Mus musculus: one gene and its partner. The protein of the gene in region 1 interacts with the protein of each later gene in a pairwise test. Links are inferred from orthologs where the notes say so. Each region holds a gene or a part of one and is shown on either strand. Other genes may lie near its edges. The genes, in order: Tollip and Odam.

Region 1 (7,699 bases):
AATGTATGGTTTATTTCTTTTCTCTTGGGAGTTACCCCAGGAATTTTAACACACAGTCTTGCAGATCTAAAGTTGGTTGTGTCTCTGTGGTCCCCAGTCTGTGCAAAGACCATAGTTGGTGGTGACCCGGTGGTCCCATCCCACCTGGTGTGGTTGTGCCATATATGATGGTTCCCCTTCCTTTGAGCAGTAGCATTTTTGTCAGTGCTTGTTCAGATCTGAGATGTGAATCTTCTTCCTCATCCCCCTGTGTCTGTTCATCAGGGTCTTGGCTGTGCTTTCAAGCTGTTCTTTTAGAACTCTTGAGTGTAGTTCCTGAGGGCTGTGTGGAGTGGCACTCAGTCCACTGCATGCCTGCCCTGCTGTCATCTCGTCACTCCTTTACTAGTCTTCCATTCTTTGGAGTTTCAGTATAAACCACTGAAAGCCTTTCAAGTGCAGTTTCCATCCTGACTGAGGGCCGATCGCCATATATTGAACAATATAGAACTGTTGTCAGGGCTCATGAGGATGCGCCAGATTTATGCATGGAGAGTGCAACAGGCCCAGCTCATGGAAATACCATGAACTAGTAAGATGCTAGGTCCTTATGAATTGTTTTTCATTTTTCAGAAAACATATTTCTGTGATCGAATCCTTTTCTGATACTATTTTGCTTTGACACCAGAGAGGCAGAAGAGCTGGGTTCAGGTGGTTGTGAAGTTGCCAGGTACCTATGAAGGCCAATAGGACTGGCTGCAGTGACTGTGGGGAGAGAGCAGCAGCTAGTTTTGTGCATAGGAATCCCTGTGATCACTGGCTCTGGAAGGCATCAGGCAGTAGATCCACCTCTGCCCAGCTGCCAGATACTCTAAACTATGAACTGCTGCTGCTTTAGGATTCTTCCTTGCTCCCGTTAGCCTTGCAGTGCCAGAGCCTCACACACATGGATGCATGCATGCAACTCACATACTTGTATGCACACTCACCTGTAGAAGTAACTGTGTCGCTGCCTATCTTTTTTGCTGAACTCTAGACTAGCACCTTCTTGAGTTCCTACAGTGTCCCAGACATGCTAGCAGATAGGTTCTCTGTGCTGGGCAGGCCAGATGCCTTTGGACAACCCCTAGGAGAGACATCTAGCTTCTCTGTAGATAGGGAAGTCCCATGGGCTGTGCTGCAGATTCTAAATTCATTAGATTCATTATGTGTGCCCTCATTTACTAGATTTGTCCGCCTGTTCCTAGTTTGAGTTGCCCTCAAATGCTACACAGAGCCAAGGCTGAAGCCTACTGTGCCCTGCCTACTTGTCCCCCTTTTTTTGGTCAGGGTCCTAGGGATTCCTTTCATTCTTTTAGGGACACAGAAATATCTCATTCTTTTTGCCAGTTGTGAGTCTGGGCCACAGAGATGCTTTGCTTGGTGGCTCTTCCTTTGTCCTGGGCCTGAAGGAACCAGCATACTTATGCTATGTTCTTGCAGCTTTGCCATGGGACCCGTGCCTGGAATTGAATTTGTTGGCTCTTAACCAACATGTTTGAAGTCATTTGTTAGTATTCATCTTATACTCTTAGATAAACTGCAAAAAAGATCTACTGTGAGTCTGTTAACAGAATCATCATTTAATTTTTCTGAGTCTTTAAGCCATGATAAAAATTTATTTCATGTGGCCAATATATGGCAAAAATTTCATCCACCAGTATATGGCAAAAATACATCTTAGGATTAGCCCTGTATTTTAAAACTTTACTAAAAATAGCTGTTTATTGATGGTATTTTCTAGTGCTGTCAGTGACTTTATAGAATTTGCACCAATGCCTGAATTCATCTCTTGTTTTGAAGTATTCCTCACTATGCTAACAGTGGTGACTCCTTTAGGTATAGCAAGAGGTGTCCTCATTTAGACAACTCATCAGGGACCTGCAGCAACAGGCAGGCTTGTCTTTCCCTCCCAGGACAGAGAGTATTGGTTGTATAACCACCTTGTTTATCTGGCTCAGGCTTACGTCTTTCCTACTCTCCCTGCTCCCTCTTTAGGTTAAGGTGAAACTTTTTCTAGTAAAATTGTGACTTGAGAAAAGCTATAGAAAAAAGTTCTCATCTCATTTTCCTTGATGTCATATTCACGGACCAATGTCACTGCCACGAAACTGGCTTCAGTCCATGTTCTACATTCAGCTTGTTCAGCTTGTTCCCTTCACTGCTATGGGCTCCTCCCAGTACCTTGCCTTGCCTTTGACCACATCTCAGGCTTCCTTGTTTTTTTGTTTTTGTTTTGTTTTTTGAGAAAGAACATTGTTGAGGGTGTTGTAGAACATCCTTGGCTTAGATGAAGTCTCACCTAGCTAAGTCAGAATGGGTTAGCTTTCTCTACCACAATGTTGCTTTTCTACTCTTCATTAACACTGTTAAATTCACAATGTTAAAACTTTCCTTTCCTATTTATAATTTTATGGTTAGATCTTTATTGAAAAATAGCACATTTGAATTAGAGCATTGTGCATGCTGGGCAAATGTTCTACTGCAGAGCTCTACTTCAATCCTATCCACATTTTATCTTAATCTCACCCCACCCCAGCAGTCTCTATCTCTTTAATGAAAGCCTGGAAGAGTATAATAGGAAATCTCAATGTCTGAAGTTTCTAGTCCCAAGAAGAGAATGATAAGATACAAAGTAAAAAACAGCCCTGACTTGTCCCACATAGTCTTTCCTGACCTCCATGCCTGAAGATCCCCCATGACTGCCTATATCCTGACTTATCACTGTGATATCCACTGGTCTGCTTACCCTCCTATGTGTATCCTTCAAAGGCACAGTGTGTCCTGCTGCAGTCCTAAAACTGTACTATATGGCATACAATTGATAGTTGTTCCTATGACAAGTGAGAACTTGGCCTATATAGATTAACCCCAAGAACCTGACTGAAGAAAATCTGTTTTTGCCTAATAACCTATTTATGATGTATAGATAAAACTGGGTATACATCGTGGAGGTGCACCCTCGAAATTCACTGTAGACTAACACAGGTATGGGACAGAAATTCCTCTGGGAGGGACTCAGGGTTTCCTCTATACCGTAGATACTGGCTCCTGTCTTCTCGAGCCACAGCCCTTCCTCATCTCTTCTGGACTCCCCGGAAGCATTTGTGGTGTGCCGTGGGGAAGGCTGTTTATCCAAGGGAGGCTTCAGGTATTGGAAACTGCCTTTCTTGGTAACCATGAGTCTCACTGGCCACAGCTACTTTGTGGAAAGCTTCTGCCTATGAGGGCTGAGCTCCCTCCTTGTTCTGGACTCTGAGTGACCCCAGAGGTGCAGAGGGGTATGCTGCTAAGTAGTCACCACTCACAGATAAGTGTGACATGCTTTTTTCAAGTTAGAGGATCGTAGTGGGAACATCATCAGGGTGGCCCACAGAGAACTCTGGGCTGTATCCTTGGTTGGTTCTGAACATCTGACTAGTCTGTATGTTTTGGAAACACAGAAATGGGGAGAGAGTAAGGGGCTAGACTTGAGGATCCAGTGACTTTTGCTTGCTTCTTTCCTTTATTAATTTATTTGATCTATTTTTTGGGATAGGGTCTTGCTATATAACTCAAGCTGGCCTGGAACTCACTATGTAGCTCAGATTGGCTTTGAACTCTCTGCCTCAGTCTCCCAAGTGCTGGGAATGTGAAAGTGAGCCACCATGCCTACCTTTTTCAAGGACCTTTGAAAAGAAGACCCAAACCCCTTGGAGTTTCCCAGGTGCTGGGAGCTGAAAACCCTGCAGAAAGTGGAAGTGTACATAGTGCATATCAGTGGGAACCCACGGCTGGGTGGACAGGTGGGAGTGTGTGCAGTGGAGGTAGGCAGGGTGTCATAGAACCTGGATACCAAGTGTTCCCAGCAGGTCTCAGTAAATTGACTCTGTCACAGCTCACATTTGACATTGGTGCTTCTGGGCAAGCATGCATGGTAGGACTGCTTTAGGCACCTGATTGCTGCTCAGGTCCTTCTTCAGTGGGCTTTCAGTCTTCAGAACTTCCTCAGCTGTCCCTTAATTGTGAGTATTTTCTCTATGTAACTTAGACTGGTACCCACTGGGCAAGGAGCAGTCCTGGCTTCTGTTGTGTTATCCTGGGTGAAGCTGTGGATGCTTGCTCCCAAGGCTGTCCTCACTGGTCCTAAGTAGCTAACATCTCAGCTGCTACAAAAGGGTCCTTAGCCCTCCCTTCTTGGGCCCCAGGTAGGTATACCATTTCCAATTGGTGTTTTCTTCCCAGGAAGCCCTGGTTCATCATGTATTCGTTGGTCTTCCTCTGCAGTAGGGGTCCTGTGGTTAAACTCCAAAATGAATCTTAGCCAGGGCCACCATTAGGAGTCTTGGTTAACCTTTCCCCTTTCCTTTGCTCTCCTCTTTTTCTTGAAAAACTCTACTTTCTTAGAGCACTTCAGGTCTCCCTCGAGCTAGCCTTTTTACTGACTGAGATATATTCTTTTTTTATTTATTTTTTATTGGATATCTTTATTTACATTGCAAATGTTTTCCCCTTTCCGGGTCTCCCCTTCAGAAATCCCCTATCCCATCGCCCCTCCCTCTGCCTATATGAGGGTGCTTACCCACCCACCTACCCACTTCTGTCTTCCTGCCCTGGCATTCCCCTACACTGGGGTATCGAACACCCCTTGGGCCCAAGGGCTGCTCCTTCCACTGATATCCAACAAGACGATCCTCTGCCACATATGCGACTGGAGCCATAGGTCCCTCCATGTGTAGTCTTTGGTTGGTGGTCTAGTCCCTGGGAGCTCCAGGGGGTCTGGCCAGTTGACACTGTTGCTCCCCTCATGGGGCTGCAAACCCTCTCAGCTCCTTCAGTCCCTTCTCCAACTCCATCAAGGACCCCCAAGCTCAGCCCAGTGGTTGGCTGCAAGCATCCACCTCTGTATTTGTCAGGCTCTGGTAGAGCCTCTCAGGGGACAGCCATATTAGGCACCTGTCAGCAAGCACTTTCAGGCATCTACAATAGGGTCTGGGTTTGGTGACTGTATATGGGATGGATCCCCAGGTGGGGCAGTTTCTGGATGGCATTTCCTTCAGTCTCTGTTCCACACTTTGTTTCCATATTTCTTCCTGTGAGTATTTTGCTCCCCTGAAATATATTCTTAACCTTCCAAGGGTCTGGTTTGCCTTGAGTACCTCCTGAATAAGGTGTGTGTCTTCAGGGAAAGGGAGCTCAGATGAGGGGAGGCTGGATCTCTTGTTTAAAAAAATAAAAAAAAAGCAAAACACTCTCTAAACTTTGGTAAGGTGAGCAGAGCTGGACTGTGCCTGAGTGACACACCTCTCTAAGGTAAGCCAGATAGTACTTTGAGATTGCTTGGCATTCTGCTTTGACTCTACTCTTTTTCTCTCCTCACTGGAAGGTGTACATTGGTGAACTCCCCCAGGACTTCCTCCGTATAACACCCACACAACAGCAGCAGCAGATCCAGCTGGATGCCCAGGCAGCCCAGCAGCTGCAGTATGGAGGAACAGTTGGTACCGTGGGTCGCCTCAGCATCACTGTGGTACAGGTGGGTCTTAGTTTCCTGTTGAAGACTGGTGGGATTGAGCAGAAGGGGAGGCACTGGGCATGGGGCTTTGCATCTCATTTCCCATGTGCACAGTAGAATTTTTTTGATTCTAGTTATTCTTGAAAATATCTGGTAATACCTGTTGATTCCTCAGGGATCTGCCTAAGATACTGTTGGTCCATGTCAGGCATTGTACTCCGTGAGGACGCTTTCCCTGATGGCCCCTTTGTAGCAGTGAGCTGCTCATTCCTGCACAACAGCTCTGCCGACCGCACTTCCCATTCAACCTCAGCTCCGTGCTGAGGCCTAGGATGCGCACACTCAGTGCAGTGTCAGAGGAGAGGTCTTGTCTTACTGCTCACAGGTGTTGCCAGGTATGGCTAGGTTCCAGGGGCATGAGTCCAGGAGTGACTGGCAGCATGTTCAAGAGCAGGTTACTGACACGATTAGGTGAACTTGAAGGCTGTTTTTTCACACACTGGGAAATATCTGTAAGAAAAGCAGTTTACAGATGCACTGGCCTTTGTCTCTGCTGGTGAATGCCACATTTTTCTAAATTTGGTGTTGTTTCAGGCAAAATTGGCAAAGAATTATGGCATGACTCGTATGGACCCTTACTGCCGTCTGCGTCTGGGCTATGCTGTTTATGAAACTCCCACAGCACACAATGGGGCCAAGAACCCTCGCTGGAACAAAGTCATTCAGTGCACAGTGCCCCCAGGTGTGGACTCGTTCTACCTTGAGATCTTCGATGAGGTGAGAGATGCCCCAGTGTTACAGACCTGTCTAGTTTGGGATCTGACAGACATGGGTGTGCTGTAGTGTGCCTTGTGGGTTTAGTCATGAAGCTGTTCTCCTGGTGCTCAGGCCCTGTATACATACCTAGCATTTAGTGACTGGTGACAGGGTGTGACCTGCCTGGACACCTGGCATTTAGTGGCTAAATGACAAGCTACAGATTTTTTCTCTCAGTTCCTTTGACAGTGTCCATTGGGAGCCATCACCAGCAGTAGAAGCATGAGTAGAGTGTGAAAATAGATGTTCACGGGCACGTCAGATTTCAAGCAAGTCAGGCTCCACTCGTGATGGGAGCACTGTTCTTGTAGGCATGAGTTCCAGGCTCTGCCAGTAATGTCCCATGGCTGTTCCAGCAGTTAGGCATGCAGCTTTTTGAGGGCAATCAGGAAACTCAGGTGGAAGATGTCTCCTTGTAGCTTAGCTGTGGAGGTCATATGCTTGTTTCCTTGAAACAGCAAAGGGCAGTGGGAAAAAAATGGAGGCATGAGAGCCAAAGAGGACATTGGCATGGGAGGCCCAGTGAGGGGACACAGTTTCTCCTTTGTCTTGACCCTCTGCCTCTTGCTCTACTTTCTTCTTGTTTGTTTGTTTAGTTGGTTGGTTTTGTCCCTTTCTCCTCCTTCTGTGTCTGAGAATAGTAAGGATATGAGAAGGAGGTTTGGGGCTGTGGGTGGTGGCTTGGAGCTCTTGTCCTCATCTGTACCTACTGGGCTTGATACTTGCTTCTTATATCTAGTGGATTAGGAGTAAGGGCCCAAGGACTGGGGAAGATAGTGTCCATCCCTGAACAAGGATGACAGCCCAGAGATTCTTTATTGTCCTTTGGCCTGGCCTCATGGTTGTTACTCAGAAGATGCAGAAATGGTGGTGGCCAGGTCTAGGTGATCTATGGAGGTCTGGCGTTATGGTTTAATGGGAAGCTCCTTGACGGAAGATGGAGCAGTGAGGAGGAACCTCTCCTGCCAAGAAGATAGAAGGTAGATGCAGGCACCAGTCCAGGTGGAGTCACAGCCATAGGAAAAGCTCGTCTCTATAACATGGGTTGTTGTGGGCCATGATGAGGTCATTTTACTCTTGTCTTCCTCAGCGCGCCTTCTCCATGGATGACCGCATAGCTTGGACCCACATCACCATCCCCGAGTCCCTGAAGCAGGGCCAAGTGGAGGACGAGTGGTATAGCCTGAGTGGGAGGCAGGGCGATGACAAGGAGGGCATGATTAACCTGGTCATGTCCTACACGGTGAGTTCACTGTCCGGAGAGGCCATCCTCAAAGAGGTTATGGCACCTCCTTGAGGCAGCTATGGCTCCCAGAATCCCAGAACCTTGGGAAGTCATGGGAGGCAGGGCTGGGCATCTGAGCTCCCAGT
Region 2 (8,371 bases), on another chromosome or scaffold:
ATGAACTTGGAGGAGGCTGGCACTGAAGAAGAGGTTGTGAAGAAATATGATTATTATCTTGTGCAGATTGATTTCTTATTCCAGCTGTTCAGGGATGGCACTTGCAAGAGTAAATCATCAGCCAAGAAAATACTCAATAATCTTTTGCCTACTAGACAATCTGATGGAGATATTTTCTCAAGTTTCCTTTTTCAGTTTTAGTCCTGTTAGACTGTATTTGATATATAAAACAAAAAACAAAAATCAAAAACAAAAAAAAAAAACAAAAAAAGAACAATAAAAGAACAAAAGAACAAAAGAAAAAGAGGAAAGAGAGAGAGAAAGAAAGATAAAGAGAGAAAGAAAGATAGAGAGGAAGGAAGGAAGGAAGGAAAGAAGGAAGGAAAAAGAAAGAAAGAAAGAAAGAAAGAAAGAAAGAAAGAAAGAAAGAAAGAAAGAAAGAAAGAAAGAAAGAAAGAAAAATCTTTCTCAAACAACCAGCTCCTGGTTTTGTTAATTCTTTGTATAGTTCTTTTTGTTTACACTTGGTTGATTTCAGCCCTGAGTTTGATTATTTCCTTCCATCTACTCCTCTTGGGTGTATTTGCTTCTTTTTGTTCTAGAGCATTTAGGTGTGCTGTCAAGCTGCTAGTGTATGCTCTCTCCAGTTTCTTTTTGAAGGCACTTAGAGCTATGAGTTTTCCTCTTAATACTGATTTCATTGTGTCCCATAAATTTGGATATGCTGTGCCTTCATTTTCATTAAATTCTAAAAGGTCTTTAATTTCTTTCTTTATTTCTTCCTTGTCCGAGTTATCATTGAGTAGGGCATTGTTCAGCTTCCATGGGTTTGTGGGCTTTCTGTTGTTTTTATTGCTCTTGAAGACCAACCTTAGTCTGTGGTGATCTGACAGGATGCATGGGATATTTCAATTTTCTTGTATCTGTTGAGGCCTGTTTTGTGACCGTTTATATGGTCAATTTTGGAGAAGGTACCGTGAGGTGCTGAGAAGAAGGTAAGTGCTTTTAACCATAAAGCCTTCTGTCCAGCCACTCAACTACTTTTCTTTAAGATAGTCAGCTAATGGAAAATTCAAATAAAGCCTCTTAATTATCTTCAGACTTGAAGAGTAAAGCAAAATGAAGCTATTCACATCAGGATATTGCCATCTCAGTTTAGTTCAAATCCTTGGCAAATTTCTGACTCAGTAGTGGGGTTAGCTGCCTGGGTCATGTGGGATGTAACAGAAATTCTCAAGTGACTGTTAACTTACAGTATATTTAGTTTAATTTGGAAATATTCAAAAGTAAGCCAAAGTCTGTCTATATACACATATCATGTGTGTGTGTGTGTGTGTGTGTGTGTGTGTGTGTGTGTGTGTAAATATGAAAAAAAACCCTTCTATCTAGTTTAACCACTTAATTAATTGTCTACATTTTTAAGCCTGGAATGGTTATTATATTAAGTAGAGAGTTTCAGTAAATTAGCTATCACATTTTAACATAGCCTAAATATCTAGTCTTGAGATTTTTTTTTTTTTACCGAGTTTCAGTATATTAGCTATCACATTCTAGCAGAGTCTAAATATCTAATGTTGAGATTTTTTTGATACATATAAAACCTAGCGGTAACTTCTCTTCTTTCATATGATAAAAGGTCATGTTATTTTAATAAATGATTTAGACTTTTAGGGATTCCATTTGCTGCACAGATATCCAATGCTCAAACTCTAAGTTCCATTTTGTTAGGAAAGTTTTTATTAAACTTTGTTTTAGAAAGCCATTAGCTTTTGTTTTCATTACATGATAAGAACAAATTAACCAAGTAATTCCCACATAATGGAAATTAATTGATAATTTTTCATCAGAATACTTGTGATCCTAGAACATTAGAATATAAAATATTGACACTCAGAATAAACACTCAATTCTTTGAAATAAATGAATTCAAATAATGTTTAGTTAATCATACTGTTATACTTTCAATATCGGAAACCGTAAGAAACTGTGATTCATGTTGATTAACTTAAGGTCATTCATTTCGTAGACATATAGAAATTCAGATTTTTAAAATTTTATTTTAGAAAAAGAAGGATATTCACCATTGTTGTTAAAAGGTTTAAGTGATGACCTCTAAAAATGATCCTTAGAGTGGGAATAGCGTGTCTCTGACTCTTGCCTGCTCTTGGGGCTCTTTACCTCCTATTGGGTTGCCTGGCCCAGCTTTGACAAGAGGACTTTTGCCTTGTCTTAATGTATCTCATTTTGCCATGTTTGGTTGATGTCACTTAGAAGACAACTCTCTTCTGAAGAACAGCAGAGAGGATGTGAATCTTGGGAAGAGGAGAAGCTGAAAACAGTGGAGGATGGGGAAGCTGTGGCCAGGATATAGTGTATGAGATTAATTAAAACTTAATTTAAAAAAACTTAAGACAATCCACCTCATCTTACCTCAACCTAGTATCAGAACACTGGATAATATTTGTCAGCAACCATGCTTTGAATATGTACTAATATCTGTGTTCTGTCTTCAGTCTGAATTTTTTTCTCAAAGTTAAAAAGATCAATAATTTGGTCTTGAATTTAGTAAAGGATTTTTGGGTTACTTATTTAAGTTATCCATTTTTAAAATGATAAAAAGGAGTGGAACAAAATTAGCCTAGGGGAGTTAGTCATGACCAAGAAAAAGCCAGGAGCGAGCACAGAAAAATGTCTTTGGGGTAATTGAAAGGCATTACTTAGGGTGTGGGAATCCATACACCACAAAGATGATTAGGAAAGGGGTTATTAGCTAAGCCATTGTCTAAAACCCACTGAATCACTGGTCCCTTTCAATCATGATTGGTCCCTTTTTTTTTCTAAAGATGGGTTTTAAATTTTAAGAGGATCTGAACAGCAGACTGAGAAAGAAAGGGGCACAGATCTTGCAAAGAAGTAAGGTAAGATATCAAATCTTTGCTTTGGTAGTTTAAGAGCCCAGCTCTGATGCACTACCATGGGCACTCTATTGTTTGTCTATGTCTGGGATATGAAATATGGTGGGAACTCTTCAAGTAGAGGCAGGAGACAAGAAGTGTCCACTAGTTATGCTATGATATGCATCACTACTGCCATTTCCCTTTCCTGTCCCTTGTAGTGCTATGACCACTACAGTTAATAATCAGCAGTATTAGACTTCTAGTGGAAATTTTTCTCTTTTGCTTAGGATTCTTAGATTTTTGTTATGATGCCTTTTCACTAAGAACATTAAGATCATCCTAATAATAAGAATCCAGTCAGTTAAACTCCAGGTAGGGGGCTCCACAGGGCATTCACTTCTGTCAGAGCCTAACAATCACCTGCCACTAAATGAACTTTATGGTCAAGCAAACAGCTCTTCCCCATAAATAGCTACACTGAGAGAAAATGAGACAATGGTTATTATAAGAACATTTTATTTTGAGCCGTAAAACATTAGACTTGAAGAACTGAATCAACTGTTTACTTGGATTTGATAGGTGGTCTGATGAATTTGCCAGTCTTTATTTTGGTCATTAAACTTTAAGCAAAAAGTCTCTTTTAAAGCCATGTGTCACAACTTGCTCTATAGGTATACCATCTGAAAATGAAAATTATAATTCTTCTTGGACTCATAGGAGCCTCATCATCAGCCCCGGTAAGTGTTTCATTGTGCTTCAGATTACATATAAACCCATGCATTTACCCCGCTTCACAGCTTTTCTTTGTTTCTTTTTTTCTTTTTTTAGCTTATCTCGCAGCGTCTATTGTCTGCTAGCAACAGTCATGAGGTTAGTTTAAGTTATTAAAACATTCTCCTGCATTCTGTATGTGAAGACACACTGGGAAGAGATAAAATTCTGCATCCAGCCCTGTAGGTCTTTTTTTTTTTTCCATTTTTTATTAGGTATTTAGCTCATTTACATTTCCAATGCTATACCAAAAGTCCCCCATACCCACCCACCCCCACTCCCCTACCCGCCCACTCCCCCTTTTTGGCCCTGGCGTTCCCCTGTTCTGGGGCATATAAAGTTTGTGTGTCCAATGGGCCTTAAATTAAACATTTCTAAACATATTCCCGAGTTGCATGGCTGTTTTCCTGTGTACCTTGTTAAAGAGTGTTTTTCCTCCTTCTAATTCCCCAAACACAATTTGTTCCAATAGCTCCCTATGTGGATCTCAAAAATCAATGTATAAACATAGAAAATACCCAAGCCACTGGGATGAGCCGAAACTGTGCACTCTTGTACACAGTAGGAATGGCACTGTTAAACCCAAGCCTTGCTTTCAACTCTAACTTATCTAATCACTGTGATTTAATGCAGTCTTGTTGGGGAAATGTGGCCCTTCAAATTGAGAGTTGATCAACCAGCACTGCCTTGTACTCTATCTACAGAAAGCATTTCAGACTGCATAGTCATCTAGTTTCCATCTTGTCTCTCCTTTTCCAGCTACTCCTGAATCTTAATAATGGTCAACTTTTGCCACTGCAGTTCCAGGTACTGCTATGTAATGGTTTAGTTCAAAGGGAATATATTTCTAATGAGCATTTCTTATGGTATGGGATGAGAACAAAATGCATTTACTTATACTTGTTTTAAAAAATGGTATAACTTGATGAACTAGGGTGGGGAGATATCAAGGAGGCCTCCATCCTTGCAGAAGAGAAGGGGAGGAGAGATGGGGGAGGGAAGGAACTCAATGAGAGGAGACTGGAAGGGGGGCAGCTTTGGAGTTGTAAAAAAAAAATTGTTATGTGCCACATAGTAATTCTGTTGATTTTTGACACACTTAATTTTTTTAAACAAGCCACATATAGCCAACCATGAGGAGTAGGGGGCAGGTCTTTTGATTCCAGTCAAAGATCTGCAGAAACTTGCGCTGTTTTATTAACTTTGTGTTCCATGTTTCTCATCATTTGAAAACTGTGACATTTATTAGTTGTTGAGATGCTGTCTTCTCTTTTTGCCTTTCTTACTGGGGGTTGATTTCAATTTCTTTCTTTCTTTCTTTCTTTCTTTCTTTCTTTCTTTCTTTCTTTCTTTCTTTCTTTCTTTCTTTCTTTCTTTCCTTGTCTTCCTTCCTTCCTTCCTTCCTTCCTTCCTTCCTTTCTTTCTTTCTTTCTTTCTTTCTTTCTTTCTTTCTTTCTTCCTTCCTTTCTCCCTTTCTTTCTCATAAAAGAGTAACCATTGCCTTCTATCTTTGCTTTTCACAGGGTGCCTTCAACTCCTGGATTCCTCCCTTCCCTGGGTTTCTGCAGCAGCAGCAGGCTCAGGTCTCAGGACGCCCACAGTTTACTCTCTCAACACTAGAGAGCTTTGCTGGACTATTCCCAAATCAGATACCTTTATCAAGACAGGTTGGACTTGCCCAAGGAGGCCAGGCTGGCCAGCCAGACCTCTCTCAGCAGCAGACACCACCTCAGACCCAGCAGAGTGCTAGCCCTGTAAGTGAAGCTTCTTCCATCTTGCTGCTGTCAGATAGGGTATGAAGGTTATTGTGAATTAGCTTGAAAATATGACAGGATTTTTATGAAGTTTTCTCCTCTACTATTGCAACCACCCCTGAAAGTATCTCCTTATATAGTCTGATTTTTAACATAAAAATAACATTAAAACCAATTGCCCTAGAATATAGTCAATAACCAGGAACTAAAACACCATGTGGGAGCAGAATTTGTATGAATTATAGCTCATGTAGAAGAGAAACTTTAATGGAGCATTGCTAATGAAATGATTCATGGGAAGCTAGATCTAGGGAAATCAAACCAAGAATTGCAAATAACAAGTCAAGAGTAATTTGCTTATATGACTTTGTGACTATTCTTTTCCTCAGATGTCCTATGTGGTACCTGTCAAAGTACCTCAAGATCAAACACAGGTAAGTGAAGAGAATTCCTTGACAAAGACAGAAAGGCTCATTTCACTCTCCTTTTTACTCCCTTTTGTTCCCTTGGGTTTCCAGTATCAGGGCTGTTAAGGCTGTGTACCACACACCACTGTCTAGAGGCACCATAAGTGGCTTTTGGGCATCTGCTGATGTTGGCCTAACCTGATTTTTTTAAAAACAGGCAGCTGAAATGAGTCTCTAGGACCCTTGAATACCTATGACATAACTATGCTGGAAGTGATGAGTTCAATAAGACCAGTAGCATGTCTTCTCTGTATTTAAGTTCCAGCACTGGGGAAGAGCTAAAAAATAAAAACATGAGTTGACATTTTGCCTTCCCAAATTTTGTTTCATATGATTTTGCATTTGTACCTGGTGTGTAGTTATAAATAGCATATATGATTATAATCATATTTATTATTATAAATAACACTAACACACATTATTGGCCTATTATAAAATTTCCTCTGAAAACTTTCCCAGTCTCTTTTATGCAGTATTTAAAATATAATTCCATATTATAATTAAATGAGTATTTCTCTTCAGGAAGAAAAAAATTAATATTAAACTAATAAATTATGTGACTATAGAAACCCTGTCAATATTAGGATAATCAATTGTATAATAACTCAGATTCAAAGGAACACGGCTATATATAAATTGTGATTCACATGAAGACTGTTGACTTGTTCAAACAAAGTTATTCTGCTTGGATCTTCTATAAGTATAATTATGTAATTAAGTTTCACTCACACTGTCATTACATAATAACACAATTCTAGACATTATCTCACTGTATATCCTTAGGTATGTAGTGAGTCAGATATGTGACAAATACAATTACTTCATTTTAAGGTCCAGGAAACATAGATTTAATGAGATTAAGTATCTTAACCCTATGAACCAAATGCCTGTTAGAAGTCAGTCCTCTACCCCCTTTTCAACCACTAATACAGTGGCTCTCTGCATAGGCTTATGTCAAAAGCTTTGTGGGCTATTTCTAGAATTATAAACTCCTAAGCTCTATGTTAAACCTGAGATATTAAAACTCTACCCAACCAGACAAACATTCTTAGGTCTTTAAAGGCTTAATGGGTGATTTTCACTCTTGGCATGCTTCCTACCTTAGTTTAATCTATTATAGCCAAACGTGTTTGAATATGTATTCTTACAAATGAAGTCCTGTTTCATGTTGGGTTCAAGTTGTTTCACAATTTGAGAAGCACTGTACATCTGCTATGCATAGTACATTTGCTGGGAATGGTAGTTCATACCTGTGTAACCAACTTTACAGTATTAACAATGGTAAAAGAGTGAAGAGCATTGCACATCCTGATCTAATGGGCTCCCTCATGTACTCCCATGTCTACAGATGTTTCAGTACTATCCAGTTTACATGCTTCTGCCCTGGGAGCAGCCTCAGACCGTCACATCCTCACCACAGCACACAGGGCAGCAGCTATTTGAGGAACAGGTACTGTGAGGGTTTGGTTTAGTCTGTGGTTCAATTTCAGAATAAGGTAATTTCCCTGCAGAAAGAATAATTAAGAATATCGAGTGCATGTTCTTGACCACTTGACCTCACAGAATAGGACATAGTAGCTCTCCTCTTAGCACACCTGTATAATAAACCTATAATTATAAGGAGTAAAATCAGCAAATGGTTCTAATGAAATAAGGCTCAAAATTGATTTTTCCCCTCAATTTGATGTTTCTCACATTCAGAATCTAGAAGAATTCATCACTTAAATATAAAGACATATATGTGAATATATTTAAAATATCAAGATATAAAAGATTGCTAAGAAAAATATTTGTGGTCACTAGAACCTAAGACACAATTTGATAACTATATTTCAGTTTTGCAAACATAGCAAAACTTCTGAGAATTTTAATGTAAATTAAGATTTCTTATGATTTGGCATTAAAAGATATCTTGACATTTAATGTTAATATTTTGAAACTAAAGCATGTGGATTCTCCAAAAGCATTTGGTTAATGTAAAAGATAAGTAATTTTAAGTAATCATTTCTCAGAAATTTATGTCAAAAATCATCACAATAAGTCTAACACCTTTCTCAAAATTCTGGCAGATACCTTTCTATAATCAATTTGGATTCGCACCACCACAAGCAGAACCTGTGAGTAAATACATAATTTTGATTTCTGAAAATATATTTGGAGCTACTTGCTTGTCTATTAAAAACATGGGTATCTTTCAGATAGAAAAAAAAAATCCAGAAAACACTTCTAGATGAATGAAGTCAGAATTATATACACATTGCTATGAGAACATAAATAAGAAATCATAAAAAGATTTCTTACAGGGCTGTAAATGGAGAGGAATCTGAGGAAAAGAAGGTCCAGCAACAGGCCCAAAGTAGGATCCAGCTCAAGGGGAGGTCCCAAGGCCTGACACTATTACTGAGGCTATAAAGGGCTCACAAAACAAAAAACAAAAAACAAAAAACAAAAAACAAAAACAATATAAAAATTCACCTTTCTA

Evidence for each region.
Region 2: the proteins of Tollip (region 1) and Odam interact in a two-hybrid assay, tested with the Homo sapiens proteins (2 studies listed by BioGRID and IntAct). The two-hybrid records come from large-scale screens. The link is inferred for Mus musculus from reciprocal best matches to the Homo sapiens genes TOLLIP and ODAM.

What each region holds. Positions count from the first base shown.
Region 1 is NC_000073.6:141,890,574-141,898,272, reverse strand, and holds part of Tollip (toll-interacting protein), read left to right. Parts: intron 1-5,383; coding exon 5,384-5,533; intron 5,534-6,106; coding exon 6,107-6,289; intron 6,290-7,418; coding exon 7,419-7,571; intron 7,572-7,699. UniProt on the Homo sapiens protein: Component of the signaling pathway of IL-1 and Toll-like receptors. Inhibits cell activation by microbial products. Recruits IRAK1 to the IL-1 receptor complex. Inhibits IRAK1 phosphorylation and kinase activity.
Region 2 is NC_000071.6:87,882,129-87,890,499, forward strand, and holds the start of Odam (odontogenic ameloblast-associated protein precursor), read left to right. Parts: upstream 1-2,881; 5' UTR 2,882-2,918; intron 2,919-3,568; 5' UTR 3,569-3,583; coding exon 3,584-3,634; intron 3,635-3,725; coding exon 3,726-3,767; intron 3,768-4,427; coding exon 4,428-4,475; intron 4,476-5,191; coding exon 5,192-5,422; coding exon of another isoform or gene 5,423-5,461; intron 5,462-5,811; coding exon 5,812-5,856; intron 5,857-7,237; coding exon 7,238-7,339; intron 7,340-7,958; coding exon 7,959-8,006; intron 8,007-8,371. UniProt on the Homo sapiens protein: Tooth-associated epithelia protein that probably plays a role in odontogenesis, the complex process that results in the initiation and generation of the tooth. May be incorporated in the enamel matrix at the end of mineralization process.